3 linked regions of the Arabidopsis thaliana genome follow. The protein of the gene in region 3 interacts with the protein of the main gene of each other region in a pairwise test. Each region holds a gene or a part of one and is shown on either strand. Other genes may lie near its edges.

What was found.
Region 1: the proteins of DAZ3 (region 3) and MBD4 interact in a two-hybrid assay, tested with the Arabidopsis thaliana proteins (one large-scale study listed by BioGRID).
Region 2: the proteins of DAZ3 (region 3) and WOX14 interact in a two-hybrid assay, tested with the Arabidopsis thaliana proteins (one large-scale study listed by BioGRID).

What each region holds. Positions count from the first base shown.
Region 1 is NC_003074.8:23,293,572-23,297,126, reverse strand, and holds MBD4 (methyl-CPG-binding domain 4), read right to left. Parts: upstream 1,843-3,555; 5' UTR 1,734-1,842; coding exon 1,686-1,733; intron 1,215-1,685; coding exon 702-1,214; 3' UTR 501-701; downstream 1-500. Other genes in the region: AT3G63040 (uncharacterized protein), read left to right, coding at 1-481; AT3G63020 (hypothetical protein (DUF3049)), read right to left, coding at 2,088-2,702. UniProt on the Arabidopsis thaliana protein: Transcriptional regulator that binds CpG, CpNpN and CpNpG (N is A, T, or C) islands in promoters regardless the DNA methylation status. Plays probably a role in gene silencing.
Region 2 is NC_003070.9:7,180,697-7,184,556, reverse strand, and holds WOX14 (WUSCHEL related homeobox 14), read right to left. Parts: upstream 2,000-3,860; coding exon 1,795-1,999; exon of another isoform or gene 1,228-1,794; coding exon of another isoform or gene 1,209-1,227; coding exon 822-1,208; coding exon of another isoform or gene 805-821; exon of another isoform or gene 735-804; coding exon 691-734; 3' UTR 501-690; downstream 1-500. Other genes in the region: WOX10 (WUSCHEL related homeobox 10), read right to left, coding at 1-72; HMGB3 (high mobility group B3), read right to left, coding at 3,364-3,400, 3,488-3,567, 3,797-3,860. UniProt on the Arabidopsis thaliana protein: Acts redundantly with WOX4 downstream of the TDR/PXY receptor kinase to regulate procambial cell proliferation and differentiation in vascular tissue, independently of any role in vascular. Involved in the regulation of gibberellin (GA) biosynthesis pathway.
Region 3 is NC_003075.7:16,919,192-16,927,496, reverse strand, and holds DAZ3 (zinc finger (C2H2 type) family protein), read right to left. Parts: upstream 4,179-8,305; 5' UTR 4,147-4,178; coding exon 3,319-4,146; 3' UTR 3,163-3,318; downstream 1-3,162. Other genes in the region: AT4G35710 (DUF241 domain protein, putative (DUF241)), read right to left, coding at 1,345-2,196; AT4G35690 (hypothetical protein (DUF241)), read right to left, coding at 4,757-5,611; AT4G35685 (DNA-directed RNA polymerase III subunit), read right to left, coding at 7,748-8,045, 8,119-8,305.

The DNA of each region.
Region 1 (3,555 bases), on a different chromosome or scaffold from region 3:
AGTGTCAAGTGCAGTAGAAGATTTGGTGGTGGAACAGTGCAAGCACAACTGTAAACATGATATCCACAACAAGAAGAAAGAGTGTGAAGATAAGTGCAATGAACTGTTGATGATGGAGATAGAGAAAGAGACAAGTGGACGACAAGAAGAAGAACACAATCCCTTCTGTGAGGCATTTTGCAACCCCTTTGAAGGACTCTTTCAACATTGCATGGCCGTTTGCCCTCGCACCAAGTCCAAACCAGAGATGATGGTCATAGGAGGAGAAGGTGTTGCTAATGAGGGTTTGCAGACAAAATGCAACAGAAAATGCCTGTCTTACACCGAACCGGAGGCCTATAAAAAATGCATATCCGGATGCTTCATGTCCAACGAGGAAGTCTGTGAGACATCGTGCAGTATTCTTCAAGAGGAACCGCTCACTATAAGGTGCATGAGGATTTGCCATGAGAGAATTCCCGGAGTTGTAGCCTCTACTTAATGTTTTACGAGGGGACTTGTAAGGAATAAGTGTGTTTCTTTGGTGTAAGAATCCAAATTAAAAGAATATTTAACATTTGAGTTCCGGTTAAAGAAGAGACAAAAGATCATATTTTTTTGCTTAGAGATGTTAATATCATAACAGTTTTAGAGAACATCAAATCTATAAAGACTCAAAACGCATTGCTTTAGGGAGCAGAAAGAAGGTAGAAGAGAACATATTAGTTATGGCTCTGCTTGACACTGCTCTTCTCTGAAGTAGTGGTAGTAGTGCTTGGAAAAGGAGAGCCAAGCTTCGGATCAGGGGGAACAGTATCTTCCATGACCTTGGGGACAGTGAAATTGAAGTCTCCAAGTGGTGCGTTCCTGAATTCCGGATTGGCTTCAACGAAGGCAGCGATTTCATTGCGACTCCTGAGCTTCTTCCCGGTAGGAGTAAAGTAGTAGGTATCCATCTTAGAGTAATCTTTTCTGAGAACTAAGCTTCTCTTGAAACCTTTAGGCGTTTTGGGGAGACCAGGCTTGTCAATGACCCAAGTCCGAGAAGAATCGTAGTCAATATCAGCAGGCTCTTCACAAGACATGCCCTGTTTCTTCTGACAGTTAAAAGGATCCTCGAGCATTTTACTTCTGATATCTTCATATTCCTCCTGGCTATCAATCACCCTCCACTTGTGACAGTTATCGCACTGTGCAGCATAGGTATCAATCAACCTCCCAGGAGCAACATCTTTCTGCCATTAAGTCTCAGTGAAACAACCCCACACAAGACTTGTGAGCGTAGAAGAAATATATAATGTAAGGCAAGAATAAGGAGCGACACTACTCCAGCAAGCGTTAAAGAAAAGAACCAAGGCTTTCTTAGAGCAATAACTGAAAGCAACGACACATCACGAGACTGACTCAAAGTTTGCAAGACCAAAGATTTCAAAGTTAACTACCAACAATTTACTTCCAAGCACCAAAAAATCGTGAACCCCAAAACTGATAACCTAGAATTCTATGCCTTGTATAACTTCCTCCATCAATAGTAACTACTAATACGGGATCTGAGATCTCCAAAGACAGTAAGAACACGAAAAACGCATGCACTTTGACCGGAATTATAAGAAGGTTCGCATCTAACACAATAAAGAGAAGAAAAACGCAAAGAACGGAACCTAGAAAATGGAAAGCGAAATATATGTAAGTCATTGTGGGACTACCTTGGCTTTTGGTTTCGCTGGTTTTCCGATCTCCTCCTCTTCCTTCATCTCACTTACTTCCCCAGATTCTTTTTTAGTAAACTTTTTCTCCAAATCTTTGTGTCCCCCAAAAGTAAAACTCTCTCAAATAAGTCTTCCTGCGAACAGTGTGATAACCGCACAGCCTGTGCTTTAATGTATCACTGTGACGGACAAATCATAAATTAACACGTCGGCTTGAGCGAATTATTTGGGCTTCAGGCCCAGGTTTGTTTTGCAACAAAATATTATTATGGGCCTAATATTCATAAGTAAAGCCCATAATTCCCTTTTCTTATCTTGTTTCTAACGGATCATCGGACTACAATGTCGTTTTTTCCCCCCGGAAAATTAGCTGAAAATATCAAAATTCTAAGAGGAAGATCAGTGATTCTGTTTATCTTCATTATCATCTTCTACTACGTCGTTTTGTTGACTGATTCTCACTGTTCCGATTCTTAGTCCTTCTCTCCCACGAACACTAACGATCTCCGGTGAATCTACTGCCACGCTGGCAATCTCTAACCGTCCTTCGCTTCTCACTCTCCTGTGATGAAATCTCGGCCGTCCGTTACAATCCAGTGTCGTCAAAAATGGTGGCAGATCTCGCTTCCTCGTCACGCTTCTTCCTCTCCGCGGCGACGGCGCCTTTGATCTCGACTCCGTCAGCAGCGGCGGTCCATACGGTCCCCACGGCGATATCTTCCCTCCTAGATAGAAACTGTAACTGTTATTTTTCGAAGAACACGAGAAATATTCGTCAAGAATAACTCCACACACACCTCTATGTTCCCTGCACTCGTCGTCGGGATTCTCGTGGTCTGATTTTATCTCTAGAGATCTGCTCACGGATAAGCTTTGAAGAGGTTCGCCGCCGGAATCAACAGGAGTGCTCCAGCGCCGTCGATGGGAATGCGTAGGCGTGTCTTCCTCTGCCATTGACGACGTGCGGTGTTCTTCATCTATATCTCCGGTGAGAATCGTAGAGGATGACGTCATGATTAACATAACCGCTCGTCCTTCCCTGTTCTCTACTCTCTACGATCGCAACTCTGCATCATTTTTTGGGCCTTAAACGAGATTTAATGATTTATAGTATTTGGTGGGGCCTCTGCGAGAGGTTTTGCCAGCGTGGCAAACAGATCAGGATTTACTCATTTAACGGGCTTTTGTAAACCATGACACCTTGTAAGTAAATTGGTCCGCATGGTCAAATTAAACCTTGTCTTGGAAAAATCTTTTCACCTGTAAAATATTAATCTCACCGTCCTTTTTCTGGTGGCAGTAATTGTGAACAAAATCTTAAATCATATTAACTTTAATTTTTGGGAAATACGCATGCAGCACATCGAATGATTTTTAAAAATATTACATGAATTTTTCTACGAAAATTTTGAAACTAGTTTCTAAACATTACTACAGTATTAACTAATGGCTGCAATTGAGAGGGTGAAAACATTGAATTGGGTCATTCCCCATCAGTTTTAAAAAACTATAAAGTTAATTGGGTCGTAATTGCATAAAACGTTATTTCTTTCCCGGAAATAATACTCAGTTCATTAATTTGATGGGCTTATAGAACGATATTCTAAAGCCCATTATACGGGCCACAAGAATCTTTTGAGACACTCGACAAATGGCAATCGCTAAAAGCAAACCCAAAATGTTTTAACGATATGTGATAACTCCTGAGCCATGCATGCTAATTTTGCTATGTCATTTTGTAAGAAAACACGTTACTACAAGTTGTCTTTGTTTAGACCGTTAAACGGCATGCAGTCTATTATTCTGGACTAACTCCATGTGAATGAAAACATACATATGATGACGAGTTGATGATGAATGCGAAAGT
Region 2 (3,860 bases), on a different chromosome or scaffold from region 3:
ACGAAGAGTCTCCATTTGTTCATCCGTCATTACTCTACTACCATACCTACCGTTTAGGCTCTCTTGCTCCATCTCCTCTTTCACCACTTTGCCTTCTCCTCTCTCCTTTTTACCATATGAAGAAGACAATGTGGAAGTGAAGGTGTTATGTATTTTTCTTTTTGAGAAATCTTTAGTTATTTGTTACCGTTAACTTTAAACAATTTATGGAAAGATGTCAAACTAGGATCAATTGTCTGATTTTTTTTCTTTTTCAATTACTAGTTAATTGAGGTAATTTTGGGATTCAATTGGATAAATAATTGATATATATTCTAATTGTGTGGTCATGTAACCAATATCCGATTTTATATGATTTTTTGTGTGATAACAATAAATTTAAAAACAATGAAAAAAGCTATGGTCATGACTAGGATCGGTTATTATGGTCAATTGCTTCTACTCTTTAGTGTCATTTGAATTGAGATTTACCGGTCAAAATATCAACCGAGTTTAAGATGGCATCACTTTTCTTTCTGATGCTGAAAAAGATGTGGGCATATATATCAAGTTGAGGAACACAAAATTATAATAAAATTGAAGACTTGTTGTTAATGTCACACACAAACACACACAATTCTATTTTATGAAAACAGAGTAAAAGAAAACAGAATAGATTAGAGATCTTCTTCATCGAAGTCTATACGAATTTTAAGTCTCCATAAATTTCCCTATACTCAACAAATGCTCAATCCCTGAAACCACAAAAAAAAATGCAAACTCAAACCAAAAATAAAAAATAAACCTAACCAAATGTTTAAAAACTCAAATGATCTTTTTACCTAAGTCAGGACTTGGGAAGAGTATATGCTCATAAGACTCTAATCCCCCTGAATCTCCACAACTCCTCCTTTCCTCCGTTGTCACCGCCACATCGTCAGCCTGACCATTAGCTGTCGTCGTTTGAGGCTGCTTTCGTTTGGACCGAGCTCGCCGGTTTTGAAACCAATTGTAGACATTTGTCTCCGTGATCTGTCCATGTTCAGACAGCTCCGTCGCGATCTCTCTAATCCTCCGTCGATTCGGTGTTCCACTTCCTTCGTCGTAAATGCTCTCAAGTATCTGAAGCTGTGTTGAAGTCGGAGTCCACCGATGCCTAGTCGATATCCTATGAGAACTTGACGATGCCCCCATCGGATCAAAGTATCCGCCAACCATTGGCCTCACTCCTTTTTTACACTCAATCATTATAAAAAAATAAGTGACGTGACCCTTAAGTTTCTTCCATGTACAAAATATGTATTATCAAAACCACAAAGCACTAATAACTCAAGCTTCTTAAAAATCGGCCACGACATGATAACCCTCAAATCAGCTTACGTCTAGAGAAAATAAACATTAATAATATATTGAATTGTTCGATCTAAGCAAATCATAAACTATATTAACAAATATCTTTAGCAATGATAAATCGATATCTAAGCGGTAGGTAAACTGTCTTCGAATGTCTAAAACATTATGAAATTTGATTCAAAGTTATGCATCGAACACTGGGAAAAAAAAAGCCTTGGATTTCGTTAGTTGTATACCAAACGCAAACACAATTTTCACATTTTTACACTAAAGTCTCAATGGGTCAAGTGTATTAATGGAAACAACGTTTGCATCGCAAAAAACGCTGCGTTTAAACACTTTCGTCTTACACACTTCTTCTACCGTATACAAAGAAGCTCATCAAATGGTCTCTTGTAAAAAAATCAAATACATAGAAAAGTGATTGTTGTTAATCAGGAACAAAAACAGAGAGAAGTGTACCTGATGAGAGTGGATGGTAAGAAGAGAGGGAGTTGTGGAGGAGGACGAGTTGGTCACAAATAACGGCGTAAACGGCGATCTGCTTACGGAGAATCTCCATCTGCTCCTCAGTCATCACTCTCCCACTATACGCACCGTTTTGGATCTCTCTATCCATCTCCTCTATTTCTTTGCTTTTCTCCTTTTCCTTTTTTTTTTTTACCATATGAACAAGACAATGAGAAAGTGAATGATATATATATTCTTTTGTTTATGAATAAAGGGATCTTTAGTTTATTTGTTACCGTTAAATCAAACACTTTTTGGAAAGATGTCTTTGTTTAATGATCAATTGGACCAATTTAATTTTTACAGTTACCAGGTTTATTACATTGGTTACATATTGAAAACATTGGAGAACTATGGCCTTTCACTAGGATAGATTTTGGTCGACGGTATTCACAATTTTTTGTTAGAATTTCAACATTTTAATCGAGTTTTACGGGTCAAGATATCTACCATTTGAAATAGAAAAATGTGCTAATCCAAAATATGTATCTAAGAAGATCTTAATCCTATGTGTTGATGACATAATAAGACACCACACTAATATATAAAAACAACCTAATTAAAACCAGGTATTGTTGTTACATCCGTAGAGGAACACAAACTGTGTATCTTACTTTATGTATATAGTGGTTAGGTAAAGCCGGAAGCAAGGCTTAATCACAGCATTATATAAAATATTATCGTTGTGACTTATGACTAATGATTAAACTATTGATGGAAAAAGAAGAGCATGCTTTCTTTCTTTTTCTAAGTTGATTAAGAAGAAAATGTACGAATTTGACCAAAAAGGTTCTTTGATATAAAGATGTTGACTAAAAATTTATAACATAAGTGAGACTATTCTGCTGCTAATACGCAGATTTTCACTAAAATCTTCACTTTTGTCAAAAATGATCAAATTTTTTACTTATTTCTTAAATCAAACGAAGTAATACAATCCAAAGAGAAACTCTTAATTAAGCTGATGCAAACCATTTTTTTTTTTCAAAAGATGAAAAGAGAACCAAATGATCATGGCGTTGGTAATTTGGAAAATTCAAGTATAGCCTCAAAACAATTTTACCAACCTGTGTCTAAAGTCAAATAACTAAATAAAAAGTGAAAACATGGTTTACTCTTTGTGGAACACATTGATTAAGAGCGTGATTATGCAATAGGACTCACAACCCCAATATGATTTAAGTAAAAACATGGTTTACACTAATATTTTTTTCAGGGGTATAAATCCTCATATCAACTAGAAACAAAGAGTCTAAAGAGCATTAAAACGTAGAGGAATTAAAAACTAAATCATTCATTATATAGAGCTACAAATCTCTCATTTCACCATCTAAACATTCTACATTCACTTTTTCCATTACCCGTAGAATCAGTGGGAGATAGGTAATAGTTTACTAAAACGAAACATCAGTAAGAAAAAGAAAAAGAAAAAAAAAAAAAACCACTTTAACCACCCGAATTAACATTTTAAGAGAGGAGATAAAAACATCCGAGAGATTCCTTGCAGCCTTCTATATTACGCTACCACAACTTCAACTTCTTAATCATCGTCTTCCTCCTACATCACATGTATAACAGAGTTAATACAAAGCTTTACTGATTCATACTACAGATATTTAGATTGCAGAGGTGTAAAATAACTTACCTCTTCACTGCCATCCTCAGCATCATCCTCATCGTTAACCTCTGAAACTGACTTGTCAGATTCCTCATCTTCCTTAGGGCCTTCCTCCTGAAACCACAACACACCACCATTATTCAAGCACCCCCATTAACCAAATTACCAGTTGCTTGTATCATCATTGTTTAGAATAAACATAACTCAAACTTCAATATATAGTAAACAAATTAAGAAAGCCTTGAATAGTGTGACTACTGACTAGTATAAAGAGAGTAGACAACTCAATAACGTGGTTAATATAAACATAACATAGCCTTCTATATGCAAATAAACAATTACCAATTTCTTGTTGTAGGCTTTCATGTTCTTCTCATACTCAACCTTGCGCTTGTCAGCC
Region 3 (8,305 bases):
AGATATGTAATGTATGCACGGATGATGTGGTCCCACGCAAGAGACGATCGATCGATGCCTCCCTTGAATAACACCGTCACACGTCAGCAATTATGTTACCATGAATTTAGGAGTGTCCATATCAGATTTTCCATTTATCAGGTTTAGATTACCTTTTGGTTCGAGTTTGGGATCTTTTCGCTTTAAGGATTATCGTTGAAAATAAAGTGTCAATCGAGACCAAAAGTAAAGGCACTTTTGATACAATCGTTGACGAGAGAAAATGAGTGACTTTTTACCAGTTTCAAAATGTTAACTTGTGGAAGTGACTAATTCAAATTTTAGTAACTATTCATTTACTGATTTAAAATCTACAACTTATTTTGATGGAAATATTAAATATACCTTCGGTCAAAATATTCGAAAGTGTAGCCGTTGTAAAGGATTTTCGTAAAATCTCGGTTTAGATATTAATAGTGCAATTGGATGAGGGGTTGGGTTAAAACGGTTTCAGATGTTGGTTAATTACATGATCTTGGGTACATGTATATTTGGTATTGAACCATATAACTGGGTTCATGTCTATTGCAAACTCGGCCCAACGTAATATGAAAAAAAAAGATACATCAAAAACAATGGAGATACCATTAATGGAGATGCCATTATTAACAAGCAAACAAATTTCATACAACTGTGATCGACATGTGTGAATAAAATGAGCGTCTTAATTAAACCAATTAAAAAAAAATCTATTTCGCTAGATTTTCTAGATCTTTTTTAAAAAATCCATCTTATATTTAAAGTGAAATTTCTTTACAAATGGATTTTTTTTTTTTTTTTTTTTTTTTTTTTTTTTTGTGAACTATGGAAAAGAAAATCTACATTTTAACAAATATTTACAGTTTTAATAAATATGGTTAGCTACTATATCAGCATCTTTGACGTTCATGATTTGATATTCGAATACTATAGCATGCATAAAATTCAGCAACGATACTTGTATACACGTTCTTTTTCTTTTTCCTGTCTAGAAATTGTATACACGTTAGGTCAGTGAGTTTACACTGAGAAGTCAACTCTCCGATCTCCTTTTACATAATAAATCAAGATATGTATAAGTTTCAAGTCATCCATTCGAGTTTATGAAACTTTCTGACTAATTTTGTCATTTTAAATTATGAGTCGTAGATGGTTTCATAAGATTTATGGGTATATAACTGCAATGTTGATTCTATTTCACACAGTTTGTAATTAGTGTACAAAATATTTTATATGCTTTTCTATTATTCTATATAATGCAACCCTCCGGCAAATTCTCTAAAACCGAATGCTCACGAAGGTTACATTGCATATATTAACTTCTTCCTAATGGGAGATTATGTTGAGAATCGAGGCTCGTGTTCTTATCAACCTTCGAAACAACCCTTCTAGATTTCTCTCGAACCCACCAATGCACATCTCAACCTCTTCAAGCTCATTTTGAAGATCATCATGAGATAAAAAATCTCCGAAAATCGCGGAATCTAATGTCTCCAACACGTTCTTGGCTGGCGCATGGTTATCCTTCTTCATCTTTAGTACCGACGCCAACTTGCTCTTTATGTTACTTTTTCGTCTGGACAATAATTCCAAGAACGACTTCAATACGACGACACTTACCGATACCACTCGTCTCACCCTATCTATAACCGCCACAAGTTGTTCATCTTCATGATCATTATCACATGAACGAGTCCCTCCATCGACTTTCTTCAAGGATCCTAGAAGCTTCTTGGCTTCTTTTCTCATGTTCTTCCTAAATCCGACATAGTCGGAGACAGCGACATCGATTTTATCTCCTCCTCCTCCACCAGATACTTTCTTTCTTCTAACATATGACTGAACGCCACGAACATGCTCGTGAGTCTCCACCATTAGATCCCTTGAGACGCTGCAGATATCCATCAGCCTCAACGAACCATCAAGCATTTCCTCCATGAATTCCGACCCACCAGAGGACATAACCCGTTGCTTTGAACCCATTTTCAGAAACTCCTCCAGAAAAATGTAGAGCTCCTCCAAACCAGCCAAGCCCATCAAGATCGACTCGGATGAACCCGTCGTGGTGTTAATTGTTTTAATCTTATTAAGAGATTCTTCGAGCCCACTTGTGCTTGGTTGTGATCTAGAAGGTAAACTTATAGATCTTAACTGTTTCTTAATGATCATATTCGCCATCTTTTGTGTTTTGATATAAGGTGTTTTAAGGGTTTTTGTGTTCTTTCTTCTTTGATCGATCTGTTTTATTCAACTTGCCCTACACATGCCTATATATATAGCAATGGTTTTTGAAACGTCATCAACCAACAAAACCTCAGCAATAATTGATGTTTTAAATTTCATTGGTCCGATTATTACTGACAAATCTGTGGCTCTCTGACCTGTCAGATTATTATATTGGTCAAATTGAGAAAGCTTGATGAGTCATAGTCTCTGTTGCCTACAGATTCGCCACATTATCAATTGACCTTTCGCGTTCTTGAAGTCGTTTTGGTAGGTTATGAGATCCGGATCTTTCTCCGACCATATTAGGTAGTTTGCTACTTACGGTTCCTCAGGAATAAAAAGATATATTCCATATAACAAAAACTACATCATTGCCTTCTGCATAACGTCTCGCACTATGACATGTGCAAGAGGGGCACTGATTTTGATTAGATTTGCTTGTCAGTTGTCACTGGTGGTTTGATTTGATAATCGTGGAGTAGACTTTTAACAATTTTACATATTCTGATTGGTCAAATGACATTTCCATTTAATTACCAATCATTAACGCTAATATTTGTAATACTTCGTTTTTCTTATGGCATATAAACTAAATTTGGGCATATTCTGTTTTATTCAGACTCAACGTTTTGCAAATTTATTGAATGTGCTATTTTCTTGTCTCCTTTTTTCACTGTTGCGATAATGCAGTGTAATTAACAAAAAATGTTTTTGGGGTTTTGTTTTTTCATTTACATTTTGTATATTTTCGACATAAGTGAAATATATTTAAATAATTTAAAAAATAGGATTAAAAATTATTTTTTTATGCAAATGGGATATGGATTATATAAATTCGCTTTTCACATTTTCCCACTCAAGGTATAAGTTTACATAGTGTTTCAACATATCAATAGTAGAGAATATATTATTTCATTCGCGCATTTATTGTTGCAATTTGGAAAAAAGTTATCTTTTCAAATAACATAGATTAAGAAGTAACAATATCATAGTTAGTATATTCATTTCACAGCGACAAACCGAAGAAAAAATGTAACTAAGGAAAATGATTTGCATGTAACAAGAAAATAACTATCACTCGACTTTATCATCGTTCTCTTCATCACCGTCTGGTGGGGGGGACCTATTCAGATCAAATTTTCGCTTAGATCCAACTCCAATTACCTTGTCTTCCTCCTCGACTGGATCGGCATTTAAGTCAATCCTCGCCCTTCCGATACTTGAAACAAGCCCTTCACCATCGGAAGAAGCCGTAGCGAGTCCACCAGCGGAAGAAGCAGTAGGGACTTCACCAACGGAAATAGCAGTGGCTACTGCACCACCGGTTGAAGCAGTAGCAACTCCACCAAATCCTTCCTCAGCAGCATTGAATGTTGGCGGAGGAAGAAAACCTAGATACCCTCGATCCTTATGCTGCCTTAGATGTCCAAAAACAGCCTTCCAAGAAGCAAAGCCCTTCCCACAAACATTACACATAGGAGGGCCTTGCGGCAGATGTGTCAACTGAGTAGAACCTTTCTTACGGGGTTTCTTGACTACCTCTCCTTCAGTAGTGGTCACCCCAATAGGGGTACAACCAGATGCTTCGGCCAGCGCTTCCAATAATACACGGGGTTTCCCAACTTTTATGATTTCTGGAGTTCCACTAACGTCACCGGTACCACTAGCACTTTGTTCTGTATTCCCTGTGGCTTCCTTGGCGGCTGCCACGATCAACTTCGCCGCGGAAACGGCTTCGTTACGGATGCTTTCATCCACATTGAGACTCTCACTAAGTCTTAGTGCAGGAAGGCCAAGAACAATTTCACGTATGTCTCCTTCTTCATCGCTCCAAAGATAATCACTCTCGTCAAAATTCTCATTCTCTTCCTCAGCAATTTTAGACTTCTCGGGATTACTCATAATTTCTTCTTTGCAGAGATTTAGAATACCACGTCTTCAATTTCAATCGAAGTGGTCTTTATATAGTTTCTATGACCACACGGCGGTTTATGACCGTTATTTTTTTATGTGTGTCTAACGTGTTCGCTCAGATCTCTCTCGCGCCTTTTCTTTAAAAGGTTGCGTCCGTAGGATCCAATCAAAATCTCGTTTTGACGAAATTGCCCCTGCCAGAACTTACGCTTATAACTTGGTTTCTTCAGTTGGTATGAACCGGAAAATAACTAAACCGGTACACATGTGACCCATGGTCCGAATTCCCACCTCTTCTTATGAATATCATGATTTTTTTGGATTAAGAGTCTAGTTCTTTTGTTTTTCTTTCTGTAAGATTTTAATTGTAAATTTATAAATATGCTATATGTATTTTAAACTTTCATTTGTTCATGTATTAAAGTCTGCCTTGTGTATATATCAATGCATTATTGTGTATATTTTTACAAATTAATCTCTACAAAATTATGTTTAATTAGTGTACAATATCTTATCCATGCGTCTATGATGTATCCCTCCGGCAGATTCTCTAAAGTCGAATGCCTTTGAAGGTTACATTACATGAATACTTTAAAACCTAATGAGATATTATGTTGAGAAGCGAGGCTCGTGTTCTTATCAACCTTCGAAATAGTCCTTCTAGTTTCTTCTCGAATCCATCAATGCTCATCTCAACTTCCTCAAGCTTCTTTTGTAGATCATTACGAGAACAGAATATCTCGAGATCCAAATTCTCCAACTCGTTCTTGGTCTCCTCAACATGGTGAACCTTCTTTTTCTTTAGTACCGAAGCCAGCTTGCTCTTAATGTTACTTTGTCGTCGTCCGGATAAGAATTCCAAAAACGACCTCAACACCGCGACGCTAACGGAAACTACTTGTCTCATGGCGTCTACAACCACCACAAGATGTTCTTCTTGCTCACCATTATTTACTGATGATGATGAACTTAAACCTCCATCAATGTTCTTCAAAGATCCAAGAAGCCTCTTAGCTTCTTTTCTCATGTTCTTTCTAAATCCGACATACCCCGCGACGGCGACATCGAGTTGGTCTTCTCCTCCGACTACTTTCTTTCTCCTGACACATGATTGAACACCACGAACATGCTCTTGAGTCTCCACCATGAGATCCCTCGAGACACTGCATATATCCATTAGCCTCAACGAACCGTCAAGCATCTCCTCCATAAACTCGGATCCATCAGATGATGACATAACCCGTTGCGTTGAGCCCATTTTCAGAAAATCTTCCGTACAATTGTAGAGCTCCTCCAAACCCTCCAAGCCCATCAAGACTGATTCGGACGAACCCGTCATGGTGTTAATCGTTTTGACCTTGTTAAGAGATTCCTCGATACCGGTCGTGCTTGGATGCGAGCTTGAAGGTAAGCTTATAGATCTTAGTTGATTCTTGACGAGCATATTCGACATTTTTTTTTATATAATATGCTTTTGTTTTGATTTTGTTCTAGAAATGTGTTTTGAGCTTTGTATTTTGCTTTCTTGATCGATCTGTTTTACTCAACTTGCCCTACACATGTATATATATAGCATAGGGTTTTGCGTATCAACCAACAAAACTTCAACAATAATTGATTTTTTAAATTTGATTGGTCCGATTATTACTGACAAATCTGACTCTCTTAGCTGTCGGGCTATTATATTGGTCAAATTATTTGGCCACAGAGATGAGCCTGATGAGTCATCGTTTGTGTTGCCTCCTGTTTTGCCACATTATCAATTGACCTTTCGAGTTTCTCAAATTTAAAATGATCGACGGTGTTAAAATGGTCTCGGTAGGTAACGAGATCCAGATCTTCCTCAACTGTATATTATATAGTCCCTTCTATTATCCAATCATCATTTTTAGGTTGCTTATAACGAAAATATTTTTTAAACTGCCGGCTACATGGTTTTTCTCACGTTCCAAATCTTATCAAAAAAAGAAAAATATTCCTTGTTATGACACGTATAAAGAAGTGCACGAGTTTTGAGATGATTTGCTTGCGAGATATCACTGACTTTGTGTATCTGATTGACAGATTCTCATTATCCTGGAATGGTTTATTTAACTTGTTTACTTATTATTAGCAATCATAAGAAGCTCGTAGAAACCAAACTAAATCCTTTAAATGAGTCCGACGGCTAACAGCTAATACCTGGAGGCTCCAATTCTTGACTGGAGTGGACACCAAAGGCCTCTGCCCGGCCAATCCTTACTCGACAGTTCCGTCCTTTCTTAGGTGGCATTTTCAACAGGCATGAATACAGCATCGATAGGATAACTTCTGTCTTCAAAGTTATTTGACATTCTCGTGGCAGGAACAGAACAACAGGAAAAGAAAGACCCGGGGCCGACCTACCCAGAAACGGAACCAAAAAATTGAACACAATACAGATTTCTTAAATTCTTTGAAAATTTATCAAATATATATTGGTAACTAAATCAATATTAATTCGATTTCTTGTTTTTTTTTTCCATTTACTGAAACCAAAATTGATTGAAGAAATTATAACAATTCATTTAAAACCAGATCATATGAATAACACTTTGCAACGTGTTGTGGGGCAAGTTAACACAGGGAGACAAATTAAATTTTACAACATATACAATTCTACCATATATATGCAGATATTGAACCTTTTTATATGCTAAATGATAGGGATACAAACCACAATAAAACTTGTGAATTTTTTTTTTCTTTTCAAAACATCTAATCTCTCAGGTATTTGTACTTAAATTTTTTATTAAAAAAAAAAAGTATTTGTACTTTCGTATTAGAAATCTTCGAAAAGATTTTAATTTGATAACTCATGAATGAAAAACCCTGATTTTAACAGAAACGAATTCGTCATAATTAAAAGATACTCTTTTGCGAGACGTAATGTTTAAATTTCCAATAATTGGTTACTACGAGACTAAAGTACTAATTTGTTACAATGCATTATAAAAAGGCTATGAATAGTTTCTAGATTCATATCAACAAAGTATCCATATAATTAGCCTCATCGTATTTTGTCACAGTTCCTTACCCAAAGTACACGTGTAAAAGCTTAATATGTTTGTTGGAAATCATCTTTTATGTCTTGACACCAATTATATGTTCCATCACATTATGTTACTGTTCTTATTAATATATTAAGATCTATAACAAACATTCTTTTTTAGCAGTAGCTATTGGCTCCACGTAATTGTCAATGATCTTTACTTATTGATGGTAACTACCACGTCAATGATATCTTGCTAAAATTAGAAGAATCTTACACCAATTATGAGTCGAATAAGATCTATCTAGAAGAAAAGGAGTGTTCAAGTAAAGTTATGTTATCAGAAAATGTTTTTCTACAAACAATAAGATTTGTCCACGAAACCTTCACCAACTACAATTTCTAAAAATTGGTACAACTAAAAAGATCATCATTCATATGCAACCATCTGCACCCATAATAGTGCTACTAACTTTTATGGTGTAAAATTTCAAGATGGTATATGCTTATTGAGAAATTACACCAAATAGTCTTCTCTTGACTGGAAAACTTGATTCTTTTGGGAAAAGGAGAAGCAGCTTAATACACCTCTTCAAATCCACCATCCTCCTCATGATTATAATCGTCTTCATCATCATCAAAGTCTTGATTCTGATCATAATCTCCGTTATCTGATTCTTCTCCTTCTGATTCCACAACTTGTTCATCATCTTCTCCGTCTTCTTTCTCTTCATTGCCTTGAGTCTTAAACTTAGACTCAAGCTTCTCAAACACATCCAATTTCTGCAAATCAGCTTCTTGACTCCATTTAGCTCTCTTCACAGGCCGTTGTTCTCTTCGAGTATCTCCAACAAGTTCTTTAGAGAAGTTATCAGGTCTAAGAAGAAGAAAATCAAAGAAAGATCCATACTTATTAGACTTCATCTTCGGCTTCAAACGAATCTGAATACCTCTCAATATCTAAACTCGCTTTCTCTTTCTTAGAAACACCACCATCGCATAAGTGATAAGGAGAATTCATCCAAAACTTATTGAAAGTAAAGTAGCTTTGAACTACAACTAATTGCGAGTCTGTTGAGATTGATTTTGGATCAGGTAACGTAATTTCAGGGAAAATCACAAAAGGCTCAGGCTTGC